Linked DNA regions of Arabidopsis thaliana. The protein of the gene in region 3 interacts with the protein of the main gene of each other region in a pairwise test. Each region holds a gene or a part of one and is shown on either strand. Other genes may lie near its edges.

Region 1 (5,597 bases), on a different chromosome or scaffold from region 3:
TAGTTATACGTACAAAATAATTTAGTTTATATTATTATTATTTATTTTTTTCCTTTTCCTTCCCAAATCTAGGATGGGAATAAAATACTTCGTTTTAATATTCTTTTTTTTCTTTTCGGGTTGATAATTGAGAGGTTAAGATTTTCTTAGAGCGATTTATTATTTTATGATATTAAAATATACGGACGATATACTGAAAGAAAATTCATGCGAGAGGATGTTAATATGCAAATTAATACTATTCAGTTGAATTTTGCCATGCAATCTTTTTGGTCGTAAATTTTGTTGAAAACTTATCCAATCTCATATGAAGCGTCCCAAGGCCCATATCAACACTTATTACGTAGAAAACATCATAAAGCGAGAGAAAAAGAGAGAGAGGCAGAGAGATAGGAGCGTATGGGCTTTCTTTTTTGTTTTGTCAAACAACTTTAATTTACTTAAAACCTAAAAGAGGGATGTTCATACAAATAGAAACTGAAAAAAACACAAAAGGAGGAGAGATAATGGCTCCATGAGTTTTTCAAAAAGATGCTCATCTTTAAAGAGTTTGCAAAGATTAAAAAATCTGTTGAAGCAAAAATTGGGTTCGCCCATAAAGACAGACTTCACAAATTCCTCGACCACCATGTGGTTATAGATGGCTCGAGCGAACAACGCATACAAGCTTTTAAGAAAACGTTCCACGGAAGAAGCTGCCGGATAAGAGAGATTGTCGAAGATTCGGTAACTACTTCTCCTTGGAGATGCAGTCAAAATGCCGTTATTCTTCAAACTTTGAAAGGTTTGCAAATTGATCAAGAGCTTGTCGAGCCTAAAGAGTTGCTCACCTTAAGAATTACTAAAGATTGCTTTATAATCCTAGAAAAACCACCAATCGCAGATGTTGTGTAATGTCATATACATGAGCTCAGAATTCAGAGGAAATGGATTTAAAGGATTGAGAAAACTTCGGTAATCATCGTTCCGTAAAGACGGGCTCATAATGCTGAATTTCTTCAAGCTTTTGGTTTCATGAATTAATTTCCGTAGAGAAGGAGCGTATGGCTTAGTTCTAGAGAACTTGTTCTTGTCTTTGATGCCTAAAGCAAAAAAAAAAATTAGCCCATTAACAAGTAATAGAAAAAAAAATACACAAAAACTGTAGACTATATCGAACTCGTCTAATTGAAAGGCAACATAACCACTGTGCCAGAAAAACTTTTTGGAAATTGATGCCCTCTAAATCATTAATACCGTTTGGCGCCTAAAGCCCATGCTTCACCAGCTTTAGCTCAGGGCCGGCCCTGGACATCATAGTGCTCCTGGTAACTCGTTTCTGTTTTGGAGTACCCCGGTAAAATTAAGTTATGAGTCTGCCACTACATAACTGCCATAATAAAAAAGTCAAAACATCTAAACCACATTTAATTACTTATATAAACAATATTCCTCAGAATTAGATTGTTTAAATTAATCTAATAAAGTTATTGACAAAAAAAAAATTGTTGCTAAAATGCTAAATGTTGAAAAAGTAAGTATCTTAGAACAAAGTACATGTCATCAAATTAATTATTTCTAAAACTTATAAATAAAAAAATCTCACTATATTATACTATATTTAATATTTACATTGAGTTGATAAGAGATACCAAAAATTAAATTTTGCTTTTAGGTGAAATCCTATCTATAATGGTTAATATTTTTAAAATATTAAATTACAATATTAGTATAACTTATATAAAATCTAATCAATATAATTTTATTAGCATGTGTGTAGTATATGTATGGGTCAAATATTAAAAGAAAATATAAGAGCCTAACAATTAATTATATAGTAGGATTTTGTTATATTTATTTTTCCTTACTATATTTCCTAAATTAAAGATTTGACCCACTCTCAACTCATTATAAAAAGAGAGACATTATTTCATAGCTTCATCAATTTTATTCAACAATTTCTCTCATTTCATTTCTTCCATAAAATCTCTCAAAAATCAACAAAACAACAAAACAAACAATGTCTTCGAACAAGATTGTGTTGACTAGCTCGGATGATGAATCGTTCGAGGTTGAGGAAGCGGTGGCTCGTAAATTGAAGGTCATAGCACACATGATCGATGACGACTGCGCCGATAAAGCAATCCCGCTTGAAAACGTCACCGGAAATATCCTCGCTTTGGTTATCGAGTATTGCAAGAAACACGTACTTGATGATGTTGATGATAGTGATGATTCTACTGAAGCAACAAGCGAAAATGTAAACGAGGAAGCCAAGAACGAGCTCAGGACTTGGGACGCAGAGTTCATGAAAGAATTTGATATGGAAACAGTCATGAAACTCATTCTCGCTGTTAATTATCTCAACGTCCAAGATCTTCTTGGTCTCACTTGCCAGACCGTTGCAGATCACATGAAAGATATGTCGCCAGAGGAAGTTCGAGAACTCTTTAACATTGAGAATGATTACACACCTGAAGAAGAAGACGCGATTCGTAAGGAAAACGCTTGGGCTTTTGAGGATCTAAAGTAAAACCATAAAGTTCCGTTTTCTAAGTGTTGATCTCGATGTTCTTTAATCTTTGTTGATTGCATTCGTTTCTTTGAATTCATGGTTTGTGGTTTCCTTTTGTATTTCATCATGTTATAATGTTTAACAATATTTACTTATATATGCCAATGTTAATTAATTCTTTCCAACCAAAAAGCCTCTGGCGATTCTGAATTCTTTCGCCAGCGGAACAGTATAAAATATAGCGTACATCGCCACCGTTTGATGAAGACTTGGGCACTGGAAATTTATCAAAATACATGTGCCCTAGGGCTTCTCTCTGTTAAAAAATTAAACATTTACGATTTCTTTTAGCCACGTAGTGAAAATTCATAATGAAATGATAATTCAATGCATACCTACACATATCGCATATGTATTATTTTACATTAAATGTAATAAATTAAATCATTTCATATTTTCTAAATAATGTAATGGTATTTTTCTATCATAGAAAGTTATTTGTGAAAAGTATGAAAGCATTTAATTACATTTAATGTAAATTAATACATATGGGATTTGCACCCAAAATTAAAATAAAATAAAATAATAATAATCCATATGGGATATGTGGCTATGTATGCATGCATTGAACTATAATTTTCATTATCTACATTTATAAATTAGTTTTAAGAGAGGCTTCACAATGGGTCGATTTAGCAAGAATATATAAATTATTACGGGCCCTTTAAAGCCCATAATATACTAAACATCCCGTGAGTGTCAATTGTCAAAGGCTAAAAGCTAATTCAAGCAATCACATTTTAGTCTAATCCTTTTCATGTTCCGAGATATCGACCAAAGAACATTCGACACCAAATCCACATATGCTCTAAAGTTCTATATGAGAGAGAAATATACAATCGTAGAAGGAACAGATCTAAAATACTATCTAAAATACAATATATCTTTTTTCCTTCTAAAAACATATGTTAAAATTTAGTGAATCAGTATAAGATAATAAGATACATCAATATATTTCATGGTTTTCAAACAATTTGATTTAAGAAAGAAAAAAATAGGTGAGATGGTTAGGGCTTAATTATGTTTGTTAGGCGACGTGTTTATAATTCCAAATTGATAAAAATTGCATGACGCATGCATTTCATCTCTTTCTCTCTCGAGTTGCTTGGAAGTTGAGCCAACCCCTTTACTTTGCTTCCAAGTTTAATAATTTTAATAATAATTAGTGTTCATTATTGTCAATAATTCTAATATTGAATCATCATATCAATGTCTATATCAAAGTTGTTCATGGTGGAACAAGACCTTCCAAAACAAATTACCACTCTTGTTACGTAAATATTAATATATATATATTAATTAGAAGATTCTCCAATCTATGGTTAACAATTTATATAGATTTTAATAATCAAAAATAGACTACTTTTTGTTACAAAATGTTACCTTATTTAGAAGTTTTTCCAGCTTTAACTCACACATGATGCGGCAAAAAAATCCAAGCACATGATAATTATCTTTGTGGTTTCACGGGCACATGGAAACATATACAATTACTTAATTTTTAGTCTAGTTAGGTTCATCAATATGCAAATTAAAATGATTTTTTTTCCTTTTTGTGGCAAAGAGACTTCTGTTTTTTCATACCAGCAAAACAGTAAACCAATATTTTCTATGTAGTCGGATATATAATTTACTCGGATAAAACTATTGAAGCACTTGACATTGTCACAAAGTATAAATTTCATTTATAATAAAAGAAAAAAAAAACAAATTAAAAATCTACAATTTTCCACATTCAGTGGGAACAAACGACACCGTTTCTTTCTCAAGATCATGAAGTACATTAAAATTCTGCTGTTGAACATTTCCGAAAATAGACATCCCATTAGAACTTCCCATGGCCAAACACAAAACGCCGGTGCTTGAATCCGCCACCATGTAGTTCTCTCCGGGAAGCTCCAAATCAGCACCTTTAAAATGAAAAATCATCTTAGGAACAGCAATATTCTTGGCAGCATCAGGTAACTTGAAGCACAAGTCAAGTCCCGTGGATCCAGAGTCATCTACTGGTAAACTCATCCGAGAAGTAAACTCCTCTTTCAACACTTTAAACGCGGTCTCCTCGAGATACGTGATGGTCGTGCCTGAGTCTATGATCATACCTCCGGTTCCATCTTCGGCTAGTTCAAAAGTAGACTTTTCAACAGAAAGGCGTTTTGCTCCAACGGTGATGCCTTGTAACTCAAGGTAATAGAACGAAGGCTGATCTGGATTTCGTAGCAAAGACATCGTTTTGGTGACTTCACCATCTAAACTTGCACCTGTTTTGTTGACGATACCCGAGGCTAAAGATCCAATAAACAACGAGCTAGATGCTTCACTATCCTCAATCGAGGTCAAGCAATAAGAAAACTTAGTCTCTTTGAGCTGAGAAATAAGCGAGAGCGGTCCGCGACCAAGACCTACAAGACCTGACCCTTGAGAGAACCCGTCGCCTTCGTTCTCAACCCCACACCCAAACCCGATACCAGAAATCGAGTTCTCGTCCTCGAAAGTGAACGTTTCCGTGGCCAAGAGCCCTCTTGTAGATGAGTAATCTCCATAAGTATACAAATACTCACAAGCATCTTTATCTTCGTTACAGTTTGATCGAGGCAATGCGTTACAAAGACCAGAAGAGCATCCTACTTTCGAGTAAGAGGAAGATTTCTCCGGGTCAAAAATCGGAGTTGGTTGATCAAAACATTCAGTGCAAGGCTTGCATTGAGTCCAAATAAGGTCACTTCCGGTATCAACAATAGCAGAGTATTTAACCGCCGGGTTTCCAATAGACAACTCCATAAGAAACTCACCGCTTCCTCCATGAGTAGGTGCTTTAATGTTATTAGTATCATCAGGCTTAGAGGCTACAGCTAAAACAGCTACAGCTCCTAATCTGTTTAATCTATGGAATCCACGGTTAATCCCTCTCTGAATCTTTTGGATCTTGGTGAGGTTTTTACCGGAATCCACATGTCGAAGACTCAATCGAAAACCGGATCTCGGAAGGTTTTTCGGAAGAGTACGGTCGATTAATGATCTTCTTGACGATGAAACCGAGATT
Region 2 (6,197 bases), on a different chromosome or scaffold from region 3:
TACAAAATTATTGTAAGTCACTATATTGATTACCAATTGATTTTAAGAGAAACTTTTATCACTCTTCACATGCTTTCAAAGATCAAATCCATATCAATCAGTTCATTTGATCGACAGCTATTCTGTTTATGTAATGATTATCTTTTTCTTTTTAGGTCATGATGATGTAATAATATTATAGCTCTCTGAAGTAAAGTAATCAACTAGATAACATGAAATATAACCAAATTATATGATTTAATCTGCACATTGTTGTGGGGGTAAATCAGTCAAATAATTGAATAAGACTGAGTGGTAAGACTTGATTTGCTGGATTGGCTAAATATATATTATCAGTCCAGTGATACAGGGAAGAGTGTTGTTCTTTAACCACAAAAACAAACAAGTTTCATACCATTATTCAAGGGACTCGATGAACTCTCTCAACCCTTCTTCACCTTTGTATAAAGTATGACGATAAAGTAAACAAATTCTTTAAAAAAAAAGAAAAACTAAATTGAAACTAAAATTCGAAACAAAAAAAAATACTAACAAAATAAAACCTAAAATTTATTTGAGATGGAAAATGCAAACATCAAAGTTCTAGTAGTATTATTGTCTATATGGATTTCATGTGTTCAAGCTCAAACTGGAACATTTTCAGCAGTTCTTGCATTTGGAGATTCGATTCTCGATACTGGTAACAACAATTTGCTCATGACAGTATCAAGAGGCAATTTTTTGCCATATGGACGCGATTTTCCTCATCGTATTCCTACAGGAAGATTCGGGAATGGAAGAGTTCTATCAGATTTAGTTGGTACTAATTGTTCTCTATACAACATATATATATAAGACCAATTTTCTCTTTCACATTCTTTAACCTAATGAGTAATCAAATAGTTCGAGAATCATTCTATAATGAAAATGTACATGGTATATATGTATGTAGCCAGCGGTTTAGGGGTAAAAGATCTTTTACCTGCTTTCCGGAGCCCATTTCTTAAAAATAGTGAACTCGCTACCGGCGTTTGTTTTGCATCCGGTGGTTCAGGGTTAGACAAATTCACTGCATCTATACAGGTAAATCTACTTGTTATGTACTTCTTACTTTCAATAAGATAAAGTAATATATGTTCTTACTCATTTACTATATGTGCAAACTATATAGGGGGTTATATGGGTACAAGATCAGGTGAGTGACTTTCAAAGATACTTAGAAAAGTTAAACCAACAAGTTGGAGATGCAGCTAAAGTCAAAGAGATTATAGCCAATGCTGTGATTCTAGTGTCTGCTGGTAATAACGATCTTGCCATCACATATTTTTCAACTCCGAAGAGACAAACGAGATACACTGTCCAAGCATACACTGATATGCTCATCGGTTGGAAAACTACCTTCATAAATGTATACAACACACATTTATTTATAACTTTTTTTCTTCATAATATTGTTCTACCTATAATGATTATTTTGTATGAATAACAGAGTCTATATGATCTAGGAGCTAGAAAATTTGCAATTCTTGGAACGTTACCGTTAGGGTGTTTGCCAGGGGCGAGACAAATTACCGGAAATTTGATATGTCTTCCGAATGTAAACTATGGTGCTAGAGTTTATAATGACAAAGTAGCTAACTTGGTCAATCAGTACAACCAAAGGCTTCCCAATGGCAAATTCGTCTACATCGATATGTATAACTCACTTCTTGAGGTCATCAATAATCCTAGCCAATACGGTAAAACATTGAGTAACACACGCAAATTTTGAATATATATGGTAGAAAAAACAAGGGTGCTAATTTCTACATTGTAATACATTTCAGGGTTTACGACGGCAAAACCATGTTGTTGCTCGGTGATGACTCCGATTCCGTGTTTAAGATCTGGTAGTCACGTGTTCTGGGACTTTGCCCATCCTTCTGAAAAAGCCTATAAAACTGTTCTACCTTAGATCCTCAGTACCATCCAAAGCAACCTCGCCTAGTCACTAATTTTCTCTTTCTTTTTTATATTTAGACATGAGAACCATGAACCTTGGTTTGAATATGATTAGTTCCTCGATCGACGATGAGCCGCTTGTAGGTCTCTATTGTTAAGCTTGATTTATGTGTTCTCATCAATTAATCAGAATCAGTGATAATTTCATTTGCAATAATTTTGGTGCTTCTTAGTTTACCAAACCAGAAAAGTTATGTGTTTGGAAAAGAAGAAAAAAATACTAGAAGAAGATAAAAGATTTCCATCCAACACAAATACAAAGATCAACAAATGAGAGAAATACAACACAAATAAATATGTTATTAATTTTGGTTTGTTTAGTGTAACGCAATATTTTTCCCAAAAATTGTGGTGTTTGTTACCTACTTTTTACATTTTCCTTGATATTCACTACAAAATACCCAAATAATAATTCATAATTTCACATAGATTTTTACATACAAACGTGGAGGTTTTCTTTGATTAAAACATAAAAACCCTAGTCAATGATTTTTGCACACGTAGATAAACTGTATTTTCTGAAATCAGATGTAAATCTGAAAAAGTAAATATTATTAACGGAATACAGCTAAGGTGAAGTTTGTGGAAAAGTAAAAATATTTACTTTATTTAAAACAACATAAATTTTCCATTTTTTAAAAACTTAAATTTCCAATATTTGTTTTACTTTTTACTGTTCTCCTATTAGTAAAAGGAGTAGATTAACTTAAAAGCAATAAGCCGGCAAAAAAAAAAAAACTTAAAAGCAATAAACCGACTTGAATACCAATTAAGAAATTGGCTATAAATAAGGCTCCAACTTCCCAAACCTTGACACCATCACAACAATCAATCGCAGCGCCGATTCTCCTTCAAAAACTTTTCCTAAGTCGTCACTTTTTACGATGGCAGAAACGAAGAAGATGATCATCCTTAAGAGCTCCGACGGTGAATCCTTCGAGATCGAGGAAGCCGTCGCTGTTAAGTCCCAGACGATTAAGCACATGATTGAGGACGACTGTGCCGATAACGGAATTCCACTTCCCAATGTCACCGGAGCCATCCTCGCCAAGGTTATTGAGTATTGCAAGAAGCACGTTGAAGCCGCTGCTGAAGCTGGTGGAGACAAGGATTTCTATGGTTCCGCTGAGAACGACGAGCTTAAGAATTGGGACAGCGAATTCGTCAAAGTCGATCAGCCTACTCTCTTCGATCTCATCTTGGTTAGTAAAGTCGCTTTCATTGTTTAGGTTTGATGTTGTTAGAATTAGGGTTTTTAATTTGGGGATTTAGGTTTGATTTTGCAGGATTCTGTTAGGGTTTTAGTGTGTTGAATGTCGTTTTGATTTGACTAATCGTTTTGGTTCTTTGGTTTGTACAGGCTGCGAACTATTTGAACATCGGTGGACTTCTTGACCTTACGTGCAAGGCCGTGGCTGATCAGATGAGAGGCAAAACTCCAGAGCAGATGCGTGCACACTTCAACATCAAGAACGATTACACACCTGAGGAAGAGGCGGAGGTTCGCAATGAGAACAAGTGGGCGTTCGAGTGATTGGATCGGATCTGAAGGGTGTTTAGGAATCTCTAGTCTTTCTATTTAGATGTGTTTAGCTTTCAAGATTTCGGATTGTTTTTTTTTTCTTTCTTTTTCTCTTCGATTGGAGTTGTCCTTGTCGATGAAAACCTAATGCTTTGTTCTACTAACAACATCTATTGGTTTTTATGAGAAATATTTGAGAGAAAGTGTTGGTCTTGCTTAATCTTTTTGCTCTTTATACATGAATGTGTTCTCTTTAGATTATCGTTAACGTTCGCTATCGTTGTCGTCTTTGCTGGTTACAACGAATGGACTTCTCACATTGTACATTCCGTTAGACCATGTTATAGATCCAAACGCATCGTCCTTGAGTATTGTTGTAGTAGATGAAAAGATCACTTGGTAGCTGAGTTTATCTCCTATCTTCCTGAAGTGTAGCCTTCTTGGTATAACTCTGACTAGTAATCCTTCTGGTGCATCGATACTCACAGTGTAGACTGTATCTTCATCTCCAATGAGGCGTGATGCTACATTTGTCACTGTTCTGCTTACCCTTCTGCTTTCTTTTCCATTGAAGTTAGAAATCGAGATTGATGGGTAGTTGATGTTAGATATGTCTCCCCTGTTGCTTTGTTCAGGACAAGCAAAACCTTGTGGTATGCGGTTTGATATCTTTTTGATCTGATCAGATGTAAATCCATAGTAGCCGAGGAAGTTTAGGTAGTCCATGTGATTGGTTTCATAAATCAGTCCTGGTGATGAAGGTCCAAATATAGTAACCTGCCCAGCACCAAAGTCATAAGGTGTGGCCTTTTCTCCTGTTTCTGTAGTTATATGGGAACCTGTGTTGGTCATTTGCACGGCTGCAGATACAGTTGACTTGGGTTAACTCTAGCTGATCAATCATCCGTAACTGGTATCTACTTGATTTTGATTTCTCACCTGTTGTCATGATGGCAGATCTGATTGCTGCAGGACTCCATGAAGGGTATCTGGATTTGAGACGAGCAGCAATCCCGGAGACATGGGGACATGACATTGAAGTCCCTGATTCAATGTTGAAGAGTGGCGGTGGCTTGCCTTCTGGTGCTGCATTTCTGTCACCGACTAACCACGATGCTAGTATGTTGACCCCTGGTGCTGCAATATCAGGCTGTAACAGGTTTATCAATATTTTGTTTTTGAAGTTTCTGTGAATACTGTTGAGATCATGTTTATGATGAATATTAGGGCTTATACCTTGAGGATGCTTCTGGTAAGCAAGTAAGGACCTCTTGATGAGAAGGATGGTATGGATGGAGCTAACATGTGTCCTGTTCGTGATCTTGTAGGCATGATTGTTGCAATTGGTTCTCTACAATATGGATTATGATATATTAGTTCTGTTTTTTTTTTTTTTTTGGGTAAAAATATTATTATTAGTTCTGTTTGAAAGCAATGTCTTGTGAAATGAGACATCTTAAACCTTGTTGAATTTATGTAGGACATGATTTGTATGCCGTCCTCTGGTTTTATTATTGTCACTAGAAAGGAGGGATCAATAAAAGACAGATCCATTGACTCGTCATCAACAAGTACCATACCGATACCTCCAAGTCTCTTAACCTCGTCGCTTTTCCACTGGATCACCTGGTTATCAAGATCACTGTCACACACAACAATCTTTCCCTTAACAATGGTTTGGTCTAGTGTATCAGGTGCGCAGTTCCTGAAGGTTTGCAGTTGTGTTGTCTTGTTAGTATAGGTATAGCAAAGTTACTCTATAATTTTACGAGGCAACTATTACCTAGCAGCTTCCTCATTAGCATCAATCTTCTTGGCTGATCGTGCGTGTATAAGTGGGTAAGCCTGTGTTTTATCGATATTGGCAATATTTATTCCAAAACCCTGCAAAAGAAATTCTTTAAGATGTTATGTGAATGGAGATTTGTCCGTTGATTGGCTTTTCCTTCTTACCTCGATTAATCTGTTTTCATCTCCTCCCAGAAGAATGTTGGACTCAAAGCCACGGTCAATAGTGCTGGCAGCAACAGTGATCATCCATGGAGCAGCATTAAACACACTTTGACTCGATGGGCCAGAATTTCCTACAGAGCAAACAACAGTGATCCCTCTTTCCACGGCATGAAATGACCCGATGGAAAGCGGATCTTCAAGTAAATTGTCTGGCCATAAGCCCATTGATATGGATATAACATCAACCCCATCTGCGATTGCATCATCAAATGCAGCTAGTATGCTCGAGCCACGACATCCCAGGAGTGAGCACGCTCTGTACATAGCTATTCTTGAACTTGGTGAACCTCCTCTCATGATTCCACTTGCCAGGCCATAGTAGGACGCATTTGCTATTATTTGCCCTGCTGCTATTGATGCCACATGTGTCCCGTGCCCCAAAAAGTCTCGTGGTGTCTCATAATCGGGGTCTAAGAAGAATGACGAATTGTAATACCTTGCTCCTATCAGTTTCCTGTTTATCCAAGTTTGAGGTGGTAAATTCAAACATATATCGGATCTCTACATGTGTTCTACTTTCCTCAGTCTCAGCTTACCTATTGCAACGGAAAGAATCAGGTTGTGTCTTCTTCCCTCTCATGCAAGTGCCCTTCCATTTCTCTGGGACTGGACCCATGTGCCTGTCGTTAAAGCTCTGCGCCTCGGGCCATATTCCTGTTTTCTCCATCAGGATATGCTGCAT
Region 3 (6,629 bases):
TCTCACACTGATCGTCATCGCAAGAAGGTGATATTTCTTGTTTAAACAATCTTTTTGCTTAACAAATCTCTGCTGTTATCTTAAAATCCTTGATGTCACCAAAAAGACACAGATTTTTGTGAATTTGTTATATGCTGCCAATGTTTACATTAAACGATTCTGTTTTCATCGAGTAAAAAACAGAGGATCAAAATACAACTTTTTGGAAAGTGATTTGACAATTTACTTTGTTTAACTCTCTTGATAACATCACTTCATAGGGATTGCTAACAGACTGTTTTATTTTTCAATGTTACAGCATCTGAATAATCTTCCATTTCGTTTTAAAAAAAACAGAGATTTTGATTTCTTCAGTCATCTGTTCTTGAGAGATCGCCTTGGTGGTGGTGATGAGTCTCTGAAATAGCCAACCATATACATTTAGACAACTGCCATTAGAATTCCACAAGGACAACCTATGACTGCAGCTTTCCATGAAAACATTGCTTCTCTGGCTGCTTGGTCTGTGTCGAGCATGGTTCTTGGATTTGCATTCCACATATTTTGTTGTTGTTTGCGTAAATGTTCGGATCGTTCAATCTGTCTAGCTGAGGACTCTCATGGATTCTACCTATAAGTTTGTTGTTGCTCAACTCCATACATTCAGCTCACTGAGCTTGGATAGTTTCTGCGGGATTTCGCCTGAGAGGTTATTGTGTGAAAGGTCTACCTTCTCAAGATTTCCAAAACTTTGTGGGATCAATCCAGAGATGTCGTTGTATGAGAGGTTTAAAAGCTTTAAGCTTTTGAGATTGCCTAAAGAATATGGGATTTCTCCGAATAGCTTGTTATGGAGAGGTCTATCAGAGTGTAGAGGCAGACGTTATTGTTGGCAAGACCTTGCTTTGAATTCTTCCAGTTCACTGCTAAGTTATGTATTACGATAGTGAAGCTGTATATGAAACGCAAAAGCGAAGATGAACTTACGAGAGATTCTTTCATGCCTGTATCCCAGGAGATGAAGGGAGAGATCCATCAAGATTGTTCTCAGAGAGATCCAAGACCTTGAGACTTGTGATATTTGATATGCCTTGCTTCTGTTCCTTAGGCCAAAATTTGTTCGATTCCGCAACTTCTTTTGTCCTAGGTTTGTCACCTCTGACTGATTCTTTGTTTATCTTAGGTACGTGGATCTCAAGGCATGCATAACTAGAATTGAAGAAAATGGATATGGAGCAAATCTTGCTCCTTGGCTCAGCTCCCCACCGGATAGGCTGCAGACAATGCAAATTGATTCTTACATAGCCCGAAAAGAACTCTCTGTTGCTGAATCAAAAGTACTGGAAAGAAATAATATCAAACTGTGTACATGAGAGCTGGATTTGGCGGGTACTGTTTCTCAAGGCAATGCTCGCTCACTAGACCGTTTTTCCGAGGTTAGCCAGTAGATTGGAAATGGTAAAACGTAAAAACAATTTCACAACTTAAAATCAATTTAACAGAATTCGATTATTTCAGTAAGAAAAACAAACAAGAGATTTTCATCTAGTGTACTACTTAAATGTAAAATGACTTAAGTCACTCTGAATCGTTTTCTTCTTGAGCTGAGCACAATGGAGACATCGTTGTTGCGAGGAAGCATTGGAACCATCTGACGCAACTCTACAAAACGTCTTCCTTTGATATAACCTTCCAACCTTGCGACAATCAACTCTAATGTTGATATGGTTTTAAGCACAAGTTGCAGAAACGAAGCCACTTGCTTTGACTCTACATTCCTGCGGGAAGTGTTCTTAAACTCCGAGCTCCAGGATGGATCCCAATTCAAGCCATGAGAATCCAAGTATATGTCAATATGCTCTTCCTGTAATGCAAGTATATTTCAATATGATGATTCAAAATTCGGGGTCAAGGAATATTCATAATTACCGGTATGGGATATGAGCCGGCAGACCCCATTGGGTGTATGGTTAGCTTCTTCAAGTCAGGCGAGTTTTGTAGCACCTTTACTATACCATGAATAACATATCGAGAGATCATTGTCTCAAGTATCAGAGCTTTAGCCTTCAACTTTGGAAAAGAAACACCACGGAGCTCGGCAAGAGATAACATCTATAACAAACAAAAAAAAACAGAAGACAAATGAGTGTATACCAAAAAACACACTAGTTTTCTTGAAAATCAGAGCCTAATTATGTAAACTAAATCAGGAGTGAAAACATATACCTTAAGAAAGTTTGCCCCCAAAGTAAGCTTCTCCACATTCTGACACTTTTCTAACATCTTTACCACCATGGTCTGATGAAAATCAGCCTCCAGTTTATTATCAACTATTGCGTAAGCGGTAATGTCTAGTTCAGCTTGGGATAAAGAGGAGACATCAACTAAAGCACATGGTTTCTCAGAGTTTATCAATCTGAGACAACGGATATGTGGTGCAACGAGCTGTGTTGGCTCCATTCGACATCTACGAGTGATTTCTAATGTTATCAGACGCGGTGATTTGCTGAGATCAAGGACCTTCAGTTTCTTGCAGAAAAACAACAATAAGCTTTCGAGAATGGGACAACCAGATAGAATAATAGCAATGGATTCATCAGAGATGTTGCAATGATACAATGACAGGTTCTTCAGGGATGTCCAAGACACAGAACATTTGGGATTCAGAGATATAAAATCCTTTTTGCAGCCGAAATCAAGGTAGAGTTGCTTGAGAGAGGAATTGATGTAAAGGAATTCAGGGATATCATATTTATCCTCATCGAGATACAGGGACAGATTCTCCACGTTTCGGGACATGGCGAAGTTGATCCAACTGTCGATGTCAGCATGCGTGTCGGGTCTGCTGATACAGGCTGCCCTGCAACAAGAACAGATACGAAAACTCATCATCTTGGGAGCCCTGTAGCGATCTAGGATTCTGTTAATACAAGGAGCATCCGGTCTGTCCCTATGGAAGGAGAGGGACCATGTATCAGACCATACATGCCTCCATCGCCTGGATAAAACGGAAGTTTTGATCGCCAATCTGGTTGGAAGATAGGAGAGAATTAGTTGGAGAATATCATCAGGCAACCTACTGATCAAGTCTCCAGCTTCTTTGAGATAGCTAGGGCTTGCGCATGTACTCTGCAATTTGTATAAATATCGCATCACCCACATAAGAGAAAAAGGATTGGATATTTGGATTATAGAGAGATATTACCTTAGAGGAAGAGAAAACAGTAGACGAAGCATCGGGTCTGGTCGAGTTTTCCTGACTTTCCTTCTCCATCTTTTCGGTTTCCGAGTTCACCTTTTCTTCTTGTATAAACTTTTAGATCTATTGACATCTATAATAAATTTTCGAAGATCACAATCTAAAAATGATATTTACCAATTTGTATATAATGATGATAAAAGGAAGGAAATATAGGGGAAATGAGTAAAGGAGAAGAAGGAGAAAGCAGTTACCAAAAATTAAATTACTGCCGGCACATATCTGCAGAGAAGGAAAGAATGAACAGTGATCAGCCTTGTGACAGCTTTGGCAGGAGTGTTGTCTGTGAGTTTCTGGCAGCAAGTGAATCCCCAAAAGCTTTTCATTAGTCTTCAATATACGCATCACATAACTTTCTTTTCGGTTTTTCTTTTCTAGGAACTCAAGTCCACTGGGCTCAAAAGCCTGTTGGATTACTATATACAGTAGTCCGATTTATCTCGTAGCTGCATCTGAAAACCTCTTGAGCGCAAAGAAACTAAATAGCAAAAGCCAAGGGAAGGCATGTACTGCACTAGATACATCACAAGCAGTACTGGCTGATAAATAGCAAAAAGAAGATCGTATATCAGCATCTAAACTGAGTGAAACATATGCGATTTTGACAAACAAGTACCTGATATGAAATCCAAGCTTCCTTCAAGCTATGAGACGCGGCGATTATAGTCAGTTCTGCATATCATTCAGATGACACACGCTTCTGTGTAGCAAAAGAAAAGATCTTTGAGTGGAAATAAAAAGAGAAAGAAGCCGGAGATAGAAGATCCTAATGTTGAAAAGGAAGAGGATTCTATGTGTCTACAAGACTGATTAGTTGCTTAAAGGAAAGGTACAAGTACAAAAAACTGACAACTTAATCAACAAATCACAATCAGTTAACCAACCTCATGAGACTTCTTGTCTTCCGAAGTTGATGTTCCTGTACCATTCAACGTTTCTATTGGACCAGGAATAACGACGGTCACTTTGATTCCCTCCTGACAGAACTGAAACCATAGGCAGATTGTGAACCAACTGTGAATTGTTACTTTATGGTGCTATTCTCAGCAATTAGTGAAAAGGAATGTAAAAGAAAAAATCAAATCAGAAAACTCTGAGGTAGCTGTGAGTTTTCTATTGTGACTTTCAATAAGTCATTAGCTGCCAAATAATTAGCAAGCACCACAGTTTCTTTAACTTTTAACATACCTCAGAACGCAAGCTGTGGAAGTAGCCGTGCAGAGCATGTTTTGAAGCAGAATATATAGCCTGTCCAGGTGATGGTACCTTTCCTGCAGCACTGCTTATCTATAGACTGACGTGAATTATTAATCATGACATTTAACCCAAGGAAATGGAAAATTAACACATACAAGAATAGCTAACCGTAGTTTGACTTCTCAAGATGTGTATACGGTAACATGATTTGGAATTTAGCAAGCAGAAGACAAAAATACAAAAGAAACCTTAAACTATCTATACATAGCTTAAAAGCCTTAGATTTAACATATAAAAAACGCAATGTATATCCATATCCATAAACTATGATATGAAGCTCAATCCTTCAACAAATCCACAAAATTAGGGCACTTAACAAAAACTATCCCTCGTTAGTCTCCACGTACCACAACAAAATGACCGCCTCCTTGTTTTAGCATATGAGGAGTGACCAACTTTATAAGAGTTATCGTCCCAAAGACATTGATATCGAATGTAGTCTGCACACAAAGTCATTGAATAATCATATGTCACCAAGCAAACCATTGTATGGCCTACGGATTTTATGCAATTAATTTAGTACATTGATAGTTTCCTCACTTGCATCCGATGCCTTGGATTTCTGCAAGAAAAAAAATATGATGATGAAACGACATAAAACTAAGGTACAGAGCATTTAAGGCAAAACCAACACAAATCTCAACCGTTCAAGGCTAAGACAAACCTAATGAAGAAACCTGACAAAAGCGTAGCCAGCAAATAGATTTGTATGAGGATGTTTTGATGGAGAAGGAACTTATAAGGATGCAGAGCTAATGCAATAAACTATTTCAAGATCAATGACGATTCTGATCACAATGCTGAGAAAAAACTAGAGAGTCAGTTTTAACAAGCATTTTGCAGAAGAAGGGAACTTACAAGAATGTTGAGCTTGCCACTGAATCAACTTATCCCTCTGATCTCTAACCGAACCAGACACCACTAAACCACTGGATTTGCAATCATTTAAGCATGCTTTTAGCTCTTCCTGTCTTGTAGTGTAGGAGGCTGCAGGAAGGCAAAGAAAAGCAACCAGTGACGCGATTTCCTCCGGTGCTGGTAATCTTAACTATGTTAACATATAACAGATCTTGCCTAATAGATGGAAAACTTACATGAGATCAACAAGCATCACTATATGGTTCAACAAAAAACCGTAAGCCTTCACATTACATGTATGGAATAGACAGATAGCTGATCATTCGAGGCAAAACCACCAAAAGTCTAAACCATTCAATCCTAAGACCAAACATATATAGAAACCTGATAAAAGTGTGGCAGAATGGTTCGAAGATTGTTCTATCGGATAAGAAACTTGCAAGGATACGAGCTAATGTGATATGTAGAATTTCAAGATTGGTGAAGATTCCAATGTGTAGAAAATTCAATAAAAAAAGCATAGAAAACAACAAATGTCTTTAGCATGAGAAGGGAACTTACAAGGATGTTGAGCTTGCCGCTGAAAGCAGAAGAAACTTCCTGAGTCAACTTATTCCTCTGATCCCTAACCATTTATGTGCAACTCCATAGTCAAACACAGACAAAATCTTCCAAGTGATCCTCATCAACCATTTGCTTTCAGATTTTGATTTTGGTGACAGGAATCGATTTGAGAAATAACCCCAAAACCTGAAATAGAATCAATTGTATCTAAAATGGGATTGAGAGACGTCAAAATTGTTTTGAATAGAATGAATTGTACCTAAAAACAACAACTTTCATCAGATTGAGAGAAGAAGACGAAAAACTAATATGGAGCTAGCAACATGTATACTATTTCACTTTTTTTAGAGTTTTTCAACCAATCAGAAGGCTGTATTTCACCCCCACTCTCACAAAGTGAGCGTTGAGCGCGTGAGAGCACTTCTGTGGGTGTACCCCTTTGGAAATCATGCCTTTTTTAATCTACGCACTCCTCTCTGAAATCCCCATCGCGTGCAATTGTTTTTGTTTTCTTCTCTTAACCAGTGTAAACCGAAACCAAAATCAATTCTAATTTCAATACCAGGTAAACTTAACCGAAAATTCAATTCTAATTTCAATACCAGGTAAACCTAACGGAAAATCCAATTTCAATTTCAGCTCAACAGATAATTTTTCCGATATCAAGGTGGGACTGTGAGGCCCAATTTAGACATGCAAGAACTCCACTATC
Region 4 (5,322 bases), on a different chromosome or scaffold from region 3:
CAAATAATCAAGGTATGAAATTAATTTAAAATCTACAATCTATTAAATAAAATATTTTTTTTGACCAAATATGTTTTTTACTCAAAAAAGAAAAGGATATTCCTTTTTAGTGAAAGGATATACAAACATAATTATATATCTGCCATAAACAGTTCAACATTTTTGTAATATAAAATGACCATGCATAGCAAAACAACTATCACAAAAAAAATCTCAACCATCACAAAACGATAGTTAAACTTAAACCAACAATTTCTACCTTCTTCCAAGTTTCTGGTTGTGATATATCTACTCCCTAATTTCTACTTTTAAAGGGAAGTCGAACTAATATATAATTGTATAACTTGTCCCATGGTTATAAACATATGCAGCGAAACTAATTGGTAATGATGAATCAATATGGTACAGTTCTTCCAAACTACATGTCACGATTTGTTTCTGATATTTTATAACTTAAGTTGATCAGAACAATTTTCAGTTCTATTATTTGATTTAAGTTTTATGATTCTGGTATTCTAGTAAAGTTTTTTCAAAATATGTCAAATGACTGCATTTATTTTTTCCTCAGTTCTACATATCCCAATGACTACATGTCTAAATATATGGAAATATTGGAGCTACATATTGAAATTTTAATGGTAAATCCCCTCTCCTGTATTTAGGTCACATATATATGTTGTCCATAAAAAAAAAATGCTGTCCATGAGCTAAAATATAATTATATCTTTTAACAAAAAAAAATTTAAATTCCGTTTTAAACTAACAATTTGCTGAATAATAACAGTGAATTTTTAAATATTTTTTTATTCTAAAAGGCAAAAGTGAATTTTGTAAGTGAGCGAGTAGCTAAATGTGAGCATGCATGGGAAATGGTAAAAAAAGAAGAGAAATTGATCAAGACAATACTTCAAAGGTCCGAACATCTTCATCATTCGCAACATGGTCCGTATGGTATTTATATATGCATTAGTTATATAATTATCTATATGATAATTAAACTCTATATATAATTGACTTATATGGCTTGGGTTTAATTAATTTTCTTTTTTCTGTGATTCTGCTTGTAGTCGAAATTCTTAATTTGATGGTTGATGTGAAGCACACATCAAATGTGATTATAGAAGAAAGATCATCAAGTTCAAAAAAAGTAAACAAAAAGAAGAAAAAATTAGAAAATGATTGATATGATCACTATAATTTATGGGTACATATGTTTAAATATCATTTAATAGTGTAATGAAAATTTATTGAGATAAAATGAGGCTAAGAATTTGGTTATGATTGGATACTGCAAGATATATGTCTATCTCTCTCCTATTATTTGTGATGTCGGTGATATGAACATGAACTATAAGTCATGTCCTCCGCCTCCACTAATCATCTATAAACATATCAAAATAGCCACAATACCCGTTTGTGTATTGTAGAACAGTCTTCCATGTATGTCAGAATCCAAGAACATACAAACCCTAAATTCAAAATCCTAGACTATACACGAGATTAATTCAGAATCCTGGAAAGGGTAAATCAAAGCCTAGCTATTTTCGAAGATCTATGATACAGTGATGATCAAAGATGTTGATGATCGAATAAGTCAAATTGAATATTTTCCAACGCGATGCCTCAGGTTGATCAATGATCATCTTCCAAGAACGAAAAATTCAAAAGATCTTGCATACAAAATAAAGGAATGAGTCACAGACTTTAGGAGGCTCACCAATATTATTTAGAACATTTCATCTGAAAGTTTACGATACAGGTCATCCTTAGCAGCTTAGACAAAAAGGTAAGGATAACACAATTTAATATCACATTCAATACAAGTGCAAAAAAAATAGTTTATAAAGAAAAAATCTTCCATCTATCCCCCACACAATAAATCATACACAATAACAACGAGATTCATACTTTATGAAGCCATCATTTGAGATAAATTAATAAATGTATGATCTACTGTGTCTATTGACTTTTTGTTTTTAGATTTAGGTTCTGTTATTTTGTTACGTATGTTCATAAACTTTTAAAAGTTTGATTAATGAAATCACATTCATAATTTCGTAAATTGAGTCGTGATCTGATATAGTGTTATTGTTAATGTAGAAACAAACATGAATACAAAATCTTTTCTAAGTTAGGACCAATCATTTTAAACATTCAGAGTCTATCTACAAAAAGATATAATAAGCAATCAAAAGCAATTTAACATTATTACTAACCTGTGTTTTATTTTCGAAAATAAGTCATTTGTCACTGCGACTAATGCTTCTAAATATTGCTATAGGAAACATCTATGATTGAAAACATTTGACTTAGTTTTATATAACACTCGGAATCTATCCCTTTTGTTTTAAAGATTATAATGAACTCTTCTTACCTTTGTATTGGTAACAACAGAGTTTAGTGTCTTTCTTACCAAACATTGACCGTTCTCATCTGAGATATACAAGCATATACAGCAAAACATATTAGTTGGTATAAGCAGAATCATCTGAATTATGCCAATCATGTACGAGTTTGATCAATGTATAAGGAAAGCTTATTTTTAATTTCACTATCACCAAAACAAAACCATTTTTATATTGGTTCGAATGATGCAAAAGGTCCTTTCTTCCTTTCTGTAACCAATTTAGTTATACATACCAATCATTTTATAAGGAAATTCAAAAAATCTATATCTTAAGCAGATAAGAAAGGAAGATAAGCTCTTACCATTGGATTTCAGAAATTGAGACTATTTCAGATCCGACCATGTTCATCTGGCCTCATATCGTCTATGGCTCGGGCAAACATGTTATTGTATCATAAAATAAACGTGGCAAATTGGATATATAAATACATCATAATTATATAGCTTATATAGATAGACGTATTATTATCTCTTTTCTGTTTTTTTTGTCTGTGAAATCGTTTGATTGATAATGCATATTACTTTGTGATTTTATGTATATAAAGTTTAGCCGGGATTGAATGAAGAAAATGTGAAACACTTCTGGGAGTTTTGTGACAAAAGAGATTGGAAGCAAAAAGAAATTCAGGCAAAATAAATTTCTCTTATTTTATTTGTTGATATCAAATGTTCTTAAATTCTTTTCCAATCACTCGAACGCCCACCTGTTCTCATTGCGAACCTCGGCCTCTTCCTCAGGTGTGTAGTCGTTCTTGATGTTGAAGTGTTCACGCATCTGCGCTGGAGTTTTGCCTCTCATCTGATCAGCCACGGCCTTGCACGTAAGGTCAAGAAGTCCACTGATGTTCAAATAGTTGGCAGCCTTTATAAACCAAGACGATTAGTCTCCAAATCAAAACACAACATTCAATAATATAAATAAAACCCTAACATAGTCATGGAAAAAATATAAAAAACCCTAATTCTAAAAACATAAAACCAAAAAACAAAGAAAAAGACATTACTAACCCGAAGGAGATCGAAGAGAGTAGGATGATCAACTTTGACGAAATCGTTGTCCCAAGTCTTGAGCTCGTGGTTCTCGGTGGAACCATAGAAATCCTTGTCTCCACCAGCCTCAGCAGCGGCTTCAACGTGTTTCTTGCAGTACTCGATAACCTTCGCGAGGATGGCTCCGGTGACATTGGGAAGTGGAATTCCGTTATCGACGCAGTCGTCCTCGATCATGTGCTTAATCGTCTGGGACTCGACCGCGACGGCTTCCTCGACCTCGAAGGATTCACCGTCGGAGCTCTTGAGGATGATCATCTTCTTCGTTTCTGCCATCGTTTGCAACAAGGACAAAGGACTAGACAAGTTTTGAAGAGAATCGGCTCTGCGATTGATTGTGAATTGTGTGATGGTCTCAAGGTTTGGGAAGTTGGTGCCCTATTTATAGATCTATGTAAAAACAATTTCTTACTTGGTAATTAAAGTCGGTTGATTGCTTTTATGTTAATCTAATCCTTTTAATAATAGGAAAACAATAAAAGGGAAACAAATATTGGAATTTTAAGTAACAAAATCTTTATTATTTTTTTCTTTTAAAGAGAAATATTTTTACTTTTCCAAAAGCTCAACCTTAGTAATAATATTTACTTTCCAGATTTACCCGTATCTGATTTCAGAAAATACAGTTAATCATCTACTACGTGTGAAAAAATCATTGACTAGGGTCTTATGTTTTAATAAAAGTAAACCTCCACGTTCACATAGATTATGAATTAATTATTATTTGTGTATTTTGTAGTGAATATCAATGAAAATGTAAAAATTGGTAACCAACACCACAATTTTTTTAATAAATTATTATTTACTGGGTAAAACTACGTTACACTAAACAAACTGAAATTAACGAACATTCATGGGTTTTGGTTTTTAAAATTGTTGGAGAAAAATATGATTATAGTTTTAGTTAATTTTTATGTTCATTTTGTGTGTGAATTAGATACTGTTCTTTTCTCCATTCAGATGATCTTTTAAATTATTATAAACGAACGTCAATATTTATCTTCATTTAGATGAATCATCGAATGGAAAAACGAACAGTACTTTAAAAGATTAGCGAGAAGGATCAGTTGGATGGTTTTTAATAAACTCATTTAAAAAAGGAACAGAACAGCAGTTAACGGAAGCTGATTTAATCCAAAATACGAAATGTCATAAAATACACCTACCTAAAAAGAATTCCAGCAAAACCTAAACCTATTTCTCCTTCATTCCTCGACATTCACTTCGCCGGACCTCTTCACTGGATCTCTCACTAGAATTCACTCCTATCTCTTGCCGTAATCCACTATTCTTTGCCGGATTTCTCGTGCGTTCTCTCTCTCTCACTCACTCTCTCCTTCTATCTCTCTGTTTCATGGATTTGATTTCACTATTTCTCACTCTCCCCTTCTACCTCTCTATCTCTTGCAGTAAGACTCACGGGTTTGATTTGTCCTTGAGTCATTAGATGGATTCGATTATTTATTTTAGCTCGTTTTGGACAAAGTAAGATTCATGGGTTTTGTATTGAGTTTATGATGCTTATAAGCTATAATTTTCATGGGTTTTTGTATTTGTCGAGATTCATGGGTATGAGCTGATTCATGAGTTTTGTATCTATTGTGTATTTAGAAACTGATATGCTTTAGAATTGTGTGTCAGTTTAGGGTATAATTTAGGTCAGTTTATCACTGTCAATAACCATCTTTCAGTTATATCAATGCTGTATTTTCATCTAGTTCAGTATTAGATTGTTTGATGAAAAGTAACAAAGTATCAATATGTCATTACTAAATCAGGATTTATATGCTAACAGAGTTAAGCTTAGATTTGGGAATTAACAATAAGCTGCATCGGTAGACATAAGTCAGAGAATTTTGTTATAC

What was found.
Region 1: the proteins of AT3G03360 (region 3) and SK16 interact in a two-hybrid assay, tested with the Arabidopsis thaliana proteins (one study listed by BioGRID).
Region 2: the proteins of AT3G03360 (region 3) and SK4 interact in a protein complementation assay, tested with the Arabidopsis thaliana proteins (one study listed by BioGRID).
Region 4: the proteins of AT3G03360 (region 3) and SK3 interact in a protein complementation assay, tested with the Arabidopsis thaliana proteins (one study listed by BioGRID).

Annotation. Positions count from the first base shown.
Region 1 is NC_003071.7:962,233-967,829, forward strand, and holds SK16 (SKP1-like 16), read left to right. Parts: upstream 1-1,981; 5' UTR 1,982-1,999; coding exon 2,000-2,512; 3' UTR 2,513-2,669; downstream 2,670-5,597. Other genes in the region: AT2G03180 (uncharacterized protein), read left to right, coding at 532-894; AT2G03200 (Eukaryotic aspartyl protease family protein), read right to left, coding at 4,274-5,597. UniProt on the Arabidopsis thaliana protein: Involved in ubiquitination and subsequent proteasomal degradation of target proteins. Together with CUL1, RBX1 and a F-box protein, it forms a SCF E3 ubiquitin ligase complex. The functional specificity of this complex depends on the type of F-box protein.
Region 2 is NC_003070.9:6,983,566-6,989,762, forward strand, and holds SK4 (SKP1-like 4), read left to right. Parts: upstream 1-2,746; 5' UTR 2,747-2,864; coding exon 2,865-3,182; intron 3,183-3,340; coding exon 3,341-3,514; 3' UTR 3,515-3,766; downstream 3,767-6,197. Other genes in the region: AT1G20135 (GDSL-like Lipase/Acylhydrolase family protein), read left to right, coding at 559-799, 932-1,062, 1,151-1,387, 1,469-1,718, 1,806-1,933; AT1G20150 (Subtilisin-like serine endopeptidase family protein), read right to left, coding at 3,767-4,362, 4,442-4,652, 4,739-4,853, 4,965-5,207, 5,286-5,386, 5,456-5,969, 6,052-6,169. UniProt on the Arabidopsis thaliana protein: Involved in ubiquitination and subsequent proteasomal degradation of target proteins. Together with CUL1, RBX1 and a F-box protein, it forms a SCF E3 ubiquitin ligase complex. The functional specificity of this complex depends on the type of F-box protein.
Region 3 is NC_003074.8:791,842-798,470, reverse strand, and holds AT3G03360 (F-box/RNI-like superfamily protein), read right to left. Parts: upstream 3,566-6,629; 5' UTR 3,433-3,565; intron 3,312-3,432; 5' UTR 3,185-3,311; intron 3,109-3,184; 5' UTR 2,967-3,108; coding exon 2,965-2,966; intron 2,840-2,964; coding exon 2,206-2,839; intron 2,092-2,205; coding exon 1,909-2,091; intron 1,844-1,908; coding exon 1,553-1,843; 3' UTR 1,458-1,552; downstream 1-1,457. Other genes in the region: AT3G03370 (uncharacterized protein), read left to right, coding at 1-27, 588-766, 877-1,048; AT3G03350 (NAD(P)-binding Rossmann-fold superfamily protein), read right to left, coding at 3,918-3,938, 4,123-4,224, 4,427-4,525, 4,843-4,935, 5,019-5,095, 5,354-5,543, 5,738-5,773, 5,915-5,978 and 1 more.
Region 4 is NC_003071.7:10,945,819-10,951,140, forward strand, and holds SK3 (SKP1-like 3), read right to left. Parts: upstream 3,809-5,322; 5' UTR 3,734-3,808; coding exon 3,416-3,733; intron 3,270-3,415; coding exon 3,096-3,269; 3' UTR 2,929-3,095; downstream 1-2,928. UniProt on the Arabidopsis thaliana protein: Involved in ubiquitination and subsequent proteasomal degradation of target proteins. Together with CUL1, RBX1 and a F-box protein, it forms a SCF E3 ubiquitin ligase complex. The functional specificity of this complex depends on the type of F-box protein.